2 linked regions of the Macaca fascicularis genome follow. The protein of the gene in region 1 purifies or fractionates together with the protein of each later gene. This does not show direct contact. Links are inferred from orthologs where the notes say so. Each region holds a gene or a part of one and is shown in the gene's direction. Other genes may lie near its edges.

Region 1 (3,814 bases):
TTATTGAAAGTCTTGATTTTAAGTTATCAGATTTACTTATGTTTGTTCCCCAAAACCTGAAACTTTCTAGAGTGTTGGTCTAAAATGAAATTTTTTGATCATGTGAAATGTGTAGACTTTGGGATTACCCACGAATACCTTCTGTTCTGAGTTTTTAAAGAATTCCACCTGTATATGATGGTCTAATGGGAGAAATGTAGCCATTTGTGGCAACATTGGCATGCAGCTTGAATACTTTTAACATTCATGAGCAACCCTAGTGCTAAAATTTTTGTTTTACAATTTTATATTGATACCCATAAGAAAATTAACTAATTGCAGTTTTCTTTTTGTCCTTTTGCACCTCTGTTTGCTGCTTTCTGTCTCTCTCTGTCTCTTTCACATCAGTCACCTGGGCTTGGCACTGACTCATGTCCCTTGTCACCCCCATCCGCCCATTGTGCCCCCACATCTCCCACAGAGCTCCGTAGGAGGTGTAAGGAGAATGACTGCAAACTGCCAGGTTACGAGCCATCCAGAGCTGAGCACACGCCCGGAGAGCCCGCCTTGGACTCTGATGGCCCAGGGAGGCCTTACCTAGGGGATCAAGATGTGGCTTTTAGCTACAGACAGCAAACTGGCAAGGGGACCACCCTGTTCTCCTTCTCCTTGCAGCTCCCCGAGTCATTCCCCTCCCTCCTAGATGACGATGGGTACCTCTCTTTCCCCAACCTTTCTGAAACCAACCTCCTGCCCCAGAGCTTGCAGCATTACCTCCCGATCCGCTCACCGTCCCTCGTGCCCTGTTTCCTCTTCATCTTTTTCTTTCTGCTGTCTGCCTCCTTCTCAGTGCCATACGCTCTCACTCTCTCCTTCCCTCTGGCTCTGTGCCTCTGCTACCTGGAGCCCAAGGCGGCCTCCTTGAGCGCCTCCCTAGACAATGACCCGAGTGACAGTTCAGAGGAAGAGGTGTGTACCTCGGCATAGAACACGCTTCCCCTTCGTGTTCCGTGCTTGAGTCCGAAACAGTGTTAGCCGGCTGCTGCCATAGTGGTCCTACTTTCAGAGCCTCATTTATTGTCTGTGCCAATATGTTGAGGTTTCTGTGTGTTGGGGAGTCCAACCTGGGCCCCAGGGTTAGGCACAACACCATGTGGATGTAGCAGTCTGAGCCCAACCCGGAATCGTTCTGCTACCCACTGAGTTCTACGTGGGATGAAAGACTCAGCCAGAAGTCAATTTTATGTAACCCATTAGCCATGTAAAAGATCAGGGCTAAGCTGAAAGTTCTGATCAGTTATTGTTTAGTAAGGTAAATCACATATAAGACCGATGATGAGTTGTTTCAACTCAAATGATAGTCAAGGAGAGGTGGAAGAACGCATCCCCAAAGGGGATGTATCATTGTCACCTGGGTAGCTTTCTAAAATTGCAAAGGTATCTCCTCCCTGAAGATCCTGAAATGTCCCCACCGCCCTCTGCTCATCATCGACGGACAGTCACTGTTACTCACAGAGAGGTCTGTCAGTCAGATCCCGCATTGTGTTGTGTCAGAGCAGTTGAAAGCACCCACATGACATCAGCCATTGGTAAGGGCAGAAACAGGCCCAGAAGCAACGGCATGCAGTGCAGCAGTGTTCAAACACAATCAGAAAAGGACTGAATTGACGTTTTCAAACAATGCAAAGACAGGCTGAAATTTCACCAGTGCTAGCCATGCCAATGCAGATAATACGGCAGCAATTCTTTCAACTGCAGTATGAGCCTCAAAATCCCCCCGTTTTCACAGTGTGGTAAGGCTGGGCCTCTGTGGCTGCCAGCCGGACATGGACATAGTGGGGGAAAGACCCTGAACTATCAGCCTCCGTCCTTGAAGGCATGCTGCTGCAGGGCAGGCTACTGTCCCCCACTGGAGCAATTGGGCAAGCTGACATGGTAGCCGGTAGTTTTTCCTGTTAATTGCTCTCCTTTCCCACCACCCCACAGCCCTTTGAACAGCCCAGCAGTTTCTCTTTCTCCAGGCTTCAAACAGAGTGCGGGGAAGAATAATAGAAGCTGCCACCAGAAGCCCCGGTTGCTCTCATGCACGCCCCTGCCCACACCTCTCCGCAGGCTCCCTGCAGCCCTCCTGTTCCCACAGAACAAGAGCTGTTGTGACAGGAGAAAAGGAAAATACCTTACCATTTTTTTCAAAAGTCACAAAGTCAAGGCAATGCTAAAAAAGGAAAGAAAGTCTGATTCTGTGCTCAGCTAGAAAGTCATAATTTGAGCCGCAGCACCTGTGAGTATGTAGTATTATATGTTGAGGGTGTGCGAGTATCTCTAGTTAGTGGAATTATGACCATTTCTTTGCAGCGGAAGGAAAAAAAATGTGAATGGTCTCACAGGTGTTTTAAGTAAAAGTCTACACTGAATAGATTTTGCATAAGAGACATTTTCAAGGTTCTTGAGTTATATATAACGATTTGCTCCAACTGATATATAAATAACTTTTTACACATGGAAAATATTTTGAGAACTACTTGAAATCCTAGGCTTTAATATCACTATTTCTCATATTGGTAATATTATCAAATAGTGTTGGACTAGAACATATTACAGTTAAGAACACAATATTGTCTACAAAGACAATTTTATTATTTATTAGCTGATTTCTAACATGGAGATATATTTTTCCTTTAACAGTGGAGTTAGTCATCAAGCTAACATAAGGCAAAAAGATTGCTGTTTTATGCTTTTCTAAATTCAAAATAAATGTTTGAACTTTTGTATAGCAAACCACACAGATCTTGTGCCTAATCCAGGGTATACATCTTGTTGTAATCAGTGCATGAGAATTAATGTTAAACTTGGGCATGTCTGCATTACATTGGCAAAACAAATCACAGCAGTTACTTGTTACAAGCTAGCGAACATGTGATTGGAGCTTCCCGGTCATAACTGTCCTTGTTACTGCAAACCTCCGAAACCATGAATTAGCACTGACCACTGGAGTCTTCATCACCCTTCTCCGCAGCCCTAGTCAGCCCATATGATAGCTCTCCTGCCATCAGACTCTGTAACTAGCCATCTGTTCAGTGTTGTCTCTTGAAGTGTTAAGAGCTGTGCATTCTAGTTCAGGCTGAGCTAGAGAACTCATATTGAGGTCATCCTGGATTGTTTTATTTAAATTGCCATTTGCTTACATGGCCTGATTTCATCTCTAGGCCTCAAGCACTGTGGCAGCTACACTGGGTGACTTCTTAACATACAATTCAGCCTTGTCACTTTCGTTTTGCCAAGTCACTAGCAATTAATTCTTTTTAAATATTGTATCATCATTGCTTACATTTTTAACATGTTATAGTGGCTTATTTCCAGCCTTTCTCAAGAGTGAAATCCAGTATAAAAAGGCTTCATCATTTCACATTATAAAGCTATTGACCAGTCATGAGTTTTCTTTTGTACTTTCAGAATGGTAAAATAAGAAGGGGCAGGATATCAAAATATCCTATCAAGAAACATGAGATGAACTTACCTCCCCAAACCATAAAATGCTATTACATGTGTATTTCTGAGTAATTTTTTGATAATACAAAGAAAAATAGAGATGAGTTCAAATCAAGAGGAAGAAAAATTGATTAACTGATTTATAACATTTTAAATTACATAAACATAGTATTATATAATAGTTTACGATATGCTATACATTTGCAGTTTTATGTAGGCATCATACATTATAGAAATACCAGTTGATATAAAAACTGCTTTGTTCAGCCTTATTCATTTATTTACTATTGATAGGCACTATACTACGGACTGACTAGATGCTAAGGCACTATACTACGGACTGACT
Region 2 (4,254 bases), on another chromosome or scaffold:
GCTGGGATTACAAGCATGAGCCACTGCTCCCAGCCTAGAGTTTTATTTTTACTCAAATCAGTTTTCCAGAGCATTCAGGGATCAAAGTTTTCTTTTTTTCTTTTCTTTTCTTTCTTTTTTTTTTTTTTTGAGACAGTCTCGCTCTGTTGCCCAGGCTGGAGTGCAGTAGCGCGATCTCGGCTCACTGCAAGCTCCGCCTCCCGGGTTCACACCATTCTCCTGCCTCAGCCTCCCGAGAGTAGCTGGAACTACAGGCGCCTGCCACCACACCCGGCTAATTTTTTGTATTTTTAGTAGAGACGGGGTTTCACCTTGTTAGCCAGAATGGTCTGGATCTCCTGACCTCGTGATCCGCCCGTCTCAGCCTCCCAAAGTGTTGGGATTACAGGCGTGAGCCACCGTGCCCGGCCAGGGATCAAAGTTTTTAAGGATAATTTGGAAGGTTGGGGAAGGCCAGTGACTGAAGAGTGTTGATTGGTTGGGTGGGGGATGAAATCACAGGGAGTTGAAGCTATCCTCTTGCCCTGAGTCAGTTCCTGGGTTGCGGGGGAGGGGGCACAAGATCACATAGCCAGTTTATGCATCTGGTGGTGCCAGCTGATCCATCAAGTGTAGGGTCTGCAACATATCTTAAGCACCTATCTTAAGTGCAGTTTAGGGAGGGTCAGAATCTTGTGGCCTCCAGCTGTAATTTCTAAATTACAAAATTTCTAATCTTTGGCTGATTTGTTAGTCCTACAAAGGCAGTCCAGCCCCCAGGCAAGAAGGAAGTTTGTTTTGGAAAAAGGCTGTCATCATCTTTGTTTTAAAACTTCAAACTGTAAACTAAGTTCCTCCCAAAGGTAGTTCAGCCTATACGAGGAATGAACAAGGACAGCTTGGAGGTTAGAAACAACATGGATTTGGGTAGGTCAGATTGCTTTCAGTGTCTCAGTTACAATTTTGCAATGGTGATTTCACTGTGACAATCTTGAGGGACTTCCCACAGAACCCTCAGTTCTTGAAGCCCAAAGCCTCAGAAATGGCGAGGAAGAACGAGAGGGGTGTTAAACTCCACACGGTCTTAGCCGACCTCCGACGCTTTTCCTAGAATGTCTCATCTCTATGGTCGACGGCGTTCAGATTCCGGGGCAGACTAAGTTGTTCTTCCGGGGTGAGTGCCTCTTCCAGGGCGAGCGGTGTGGTGCACGCATTGCTGTGTTCTAACTCCCTCAGGGGCTGTGTTGTCGCACTTTCTGCTGCTATGAGCTTCCTCAAAAGTTTCCCGCCGCCTGGGCCGGCGGAGGGGCTCCTGCGGCAACAACCAGACACCGAGGCTGTGCTGAACGGGAAGGGCCTCGGCACTGGTACCCTTTACATCGCTGAGAGGTAGGGTTCCCGGTCCCCAGCGCCGGCCTCCTGCGTGCCACCCTCCTCCTTGCTGGAGCAGGCGGTGCGAAGGAGCCGGGCAAGGGGCGGCCTGGAGGGCTGCTGGGAGCGGGGGCGCGTGTCCGGGACGCCTCAGGGATACCTGTACCGGCTGGAAGGCTCGATTTTTCTAGCACTCTTCCCGAGTCTTCCATTCTCTATTTTCTCGGGCCGGAATTTCCCCTCATGGATTGTGCTTTTGTTTTTTTGTTTTGTTTTTTTAAACTCGCCTTTTACTGGAGGTCTGGCGCGTGCGTTGCCCTTAACGCACGGTCTCGTTTTAAGAGTCTGAAGTGTGCCTGTCTTTCCGGATGAACAGATGCAGGAGATGTTCCCCTCTGCAGGATACGTAGTTTCAGAGCCGAGTGTGGAGGACTTTGAAAGTTTGGTTACACAATATAGATTTTTTCTGTAGGAATAGTAAGGAGAGGAATATCCTTAACTCGACACAGACAGGGGTCATATGCAGAGGTACCAGACTCCCGTTTTGGGGTCCTGGAAGGAGTTGCCCTTTTATTTGGCCACCTGGAGCACTTTGGTATTTTCACAGTCAGATAGATCTACCTTAAATATTGTGGTTGTAGAACCGAGGTCCCTGTTTCCTTGACATTTAGTTCTCTTTATTTTGAAGCCTGTAATGACACATTTAATCTTTCCTGCCCTTCAGATATGTGTTGCTTCCCCTTTTGCTCCATCACTTGTCGACAGCCAGAGAAAATTCTCTAAGAACTCATGTGATTACTTTGGAACCACCTGTAAAATCCGGGATAATCTCCCTATGTTGCTGTCCACTGGTAACCTTAATTAGGTTTGCGAAGTCCCTTTTGCTGTGTAATATAACATATTCACACGCATGACACCAGAAACTGAAGGTCGTGGGGGCCAAAATTTTGCCTACCACAGAATCCAGAGCACAAAAACTGTAAAGAACTGTTGCTTTAAAGGGAAATTTAGACATTGAACAAGGCTTAGGCTTCAGGCCAGTCACTGAGATAGGACATATGGGTGGTAGGAAAAGCAAGATTGAGGTGAGAGGCAGATAATGAGTTTGGTCAGGACATGTGTGGAGTAGTTGTACATACGAGTGTGTGTTGGGCCGGGCGTGGTGGCTCACACCTGTAATCCCAGCACTTTGGGAAGCTGAGGCAGGCGGATCGCCCCAGAAGTTCGAGATTAGCCTGGGTAACATGGCGAAACCCAGTCTCTACAAAAAATACAAAAGTTAGCCAGGCATGGTGGCGGCCTGTAGTCCTAGCTACTCAGGAAACTGAGATGGGAGGATCACCTGAGTCCAGAAGGTCGAGGCACGGTGAGCCGTGATTGTGCCCCTGCACTCCAGCCTAAGTGACAGAGTGAGACCTTGTCTCAAAAAAAAAAAAAAAAAAAAAGAGTGTGTGTCTTGGGAAAGTGGTATTAAAGATAGATGTTTGGAAGTCGTTGAAGTATTAGTGTATACTCATGGAAATGGATTAACTATCTCAGAAGAGAAGAGGACCAAGTGTAGAACCCTAGGGACACACCTTTGTGTGGGTCATAGAAGAAGAGACTCGAGAAAGGAGGAAGGAGCAGTCAAAACAAAATATGAAGAGCGTATATTGAGTATTGACAAGGAAATCTTTGATATTTGGGGAAAGCAGTTTCTTTGAAGTGATGGAAGATGGAGCACAGATACATTCCTAGTTCCCAGGCATTCCTTTTTTATTCATGACATTTCTGTATGTTGACACTTCGTTCAATATTATAACTCCTTTTGAGGGACAGTCCTGTATTGGTTTTTGCATTTTGAAAAATTTCAAACCTACGGTCCGGTGCGGTGGCTCACGCCTGTAATTCCAGCACTTTGGGAGGCGGAGGCGGGCAGATCACCTGAGGACAGGAGTTCAAGACCAGCCTGGCCAACATGGTGAAACCTCATCTCTACTAAAATACAAAAATTAGCTGGGTGTGGTGGCAGGCATCTGTAATCTCAGCTACTTGGGAGGCTGAGACGGAAGAATTGCTTGAACCCGAGAGGCGGAGGTTGTAGTGAGCCGAGATCATGCCATTGCACTCCAGCCTGGGTGACAGAGACTGCCTCAAAAAAAAAAAAGAAAAATTTCAAACCTAAAGAAAAGTTGTAAGTGTTATTACTACCCATACACCCTTCACAAAGATTTATTAGTTAACATTTTGCCATGTTTGTCTGTTTTTCTTTTTTTTCTGAGCCATTTGAGAATTGCAGACATGTTTTCTACTTCCTGTTCAGAAGAACAGGGACATTATCTTGTATAACCACAATACAATTGTCACACCAAGGAAGTATAACTCTTTTTAAGTTCTTACCAGTTTTTTAAAAATTCTTAGCCTGGACAAGGTGGCTCACACCTGTAAATCCCTGCTCTTTGGAAGGCCAAGGTGAGCAGATCGCTTGAGCCCAGGAGTTGTTGACCAGCCTGGGCAACATGACAAAACCCTGTCTCTACAAAGAATACAAAATTGCAAAAATTAGCCGGTCATGGTTGCATGTACCTGTAGTCGCAGCTACTATGGGGGGCTGAGGTGGGAGGATTACTTAAGCCTGGGAAGTTGAGGCTACAGTGAGCTGTGATCATGCCACTACATTCCAGCCTGGGTGACACAGTGAAACCTTGTCTCTTAAAAAAATTAAAAATTATTTGTTTCAGCTTTTCACAAACAAATCTCTTATGTTTCTTCTTTAAGATTATTTTTTATTTATTTATTTATTTTTTTTGAGACAGAGCCTCGCTCTGTTGCCCAGGCTGGAGTGCAGTGGTGCGATTTTGGCTCACTGCAACCTCCACCTCCTGGGTTCAAGTGATTCTCCTGCCTCAGCCTCCCGAGTAGCTG

What was found.
Region 2: the proteins of EPB41L3 (region 1) and CLNS1A purify together in Homo sapiens (affinity purification with mass spectrometry; 3 studies listed by BioGRID and IntAct, with this or other methods). This does not show direct contact. The link is inferred for Macaca fascicularis from reciprocal best matches to the Homo sapiens genes EPB41L3 and CLNS1A.

What each region holds. Positions count from the first base shown.
Region 1 is NC_088392.1:73,900,516-73,904,329, reverse strand, and holds part of EPB41L3 (band 4.1-like protein 3), read left to right. Parts: intron 1-387; coding exon 388-948; intron 949-3,814. UniProt on the Homo sapiens protein: Tumor suppressor that inhibits cell proliferation and promotes apoptosis. Modulates the activity of protein arginine N-methyltransferases, including PRMT3 and PRMT5.
Region 2 is NC_088388.1:76,533,032-76,537,285, reverse strand, and holds the start of CLNS1A (methylosome subunit pICln), read left to right. Parts: upstream 1-1,150; 5' UTR 1,151-1,243; coding exon 1,244-1,368; intron 1,369-4,254. UniProt on the Homo sapiens protein: Involved in both the assembly of spliceosomal snRNPs and the methylation of Sm proteins.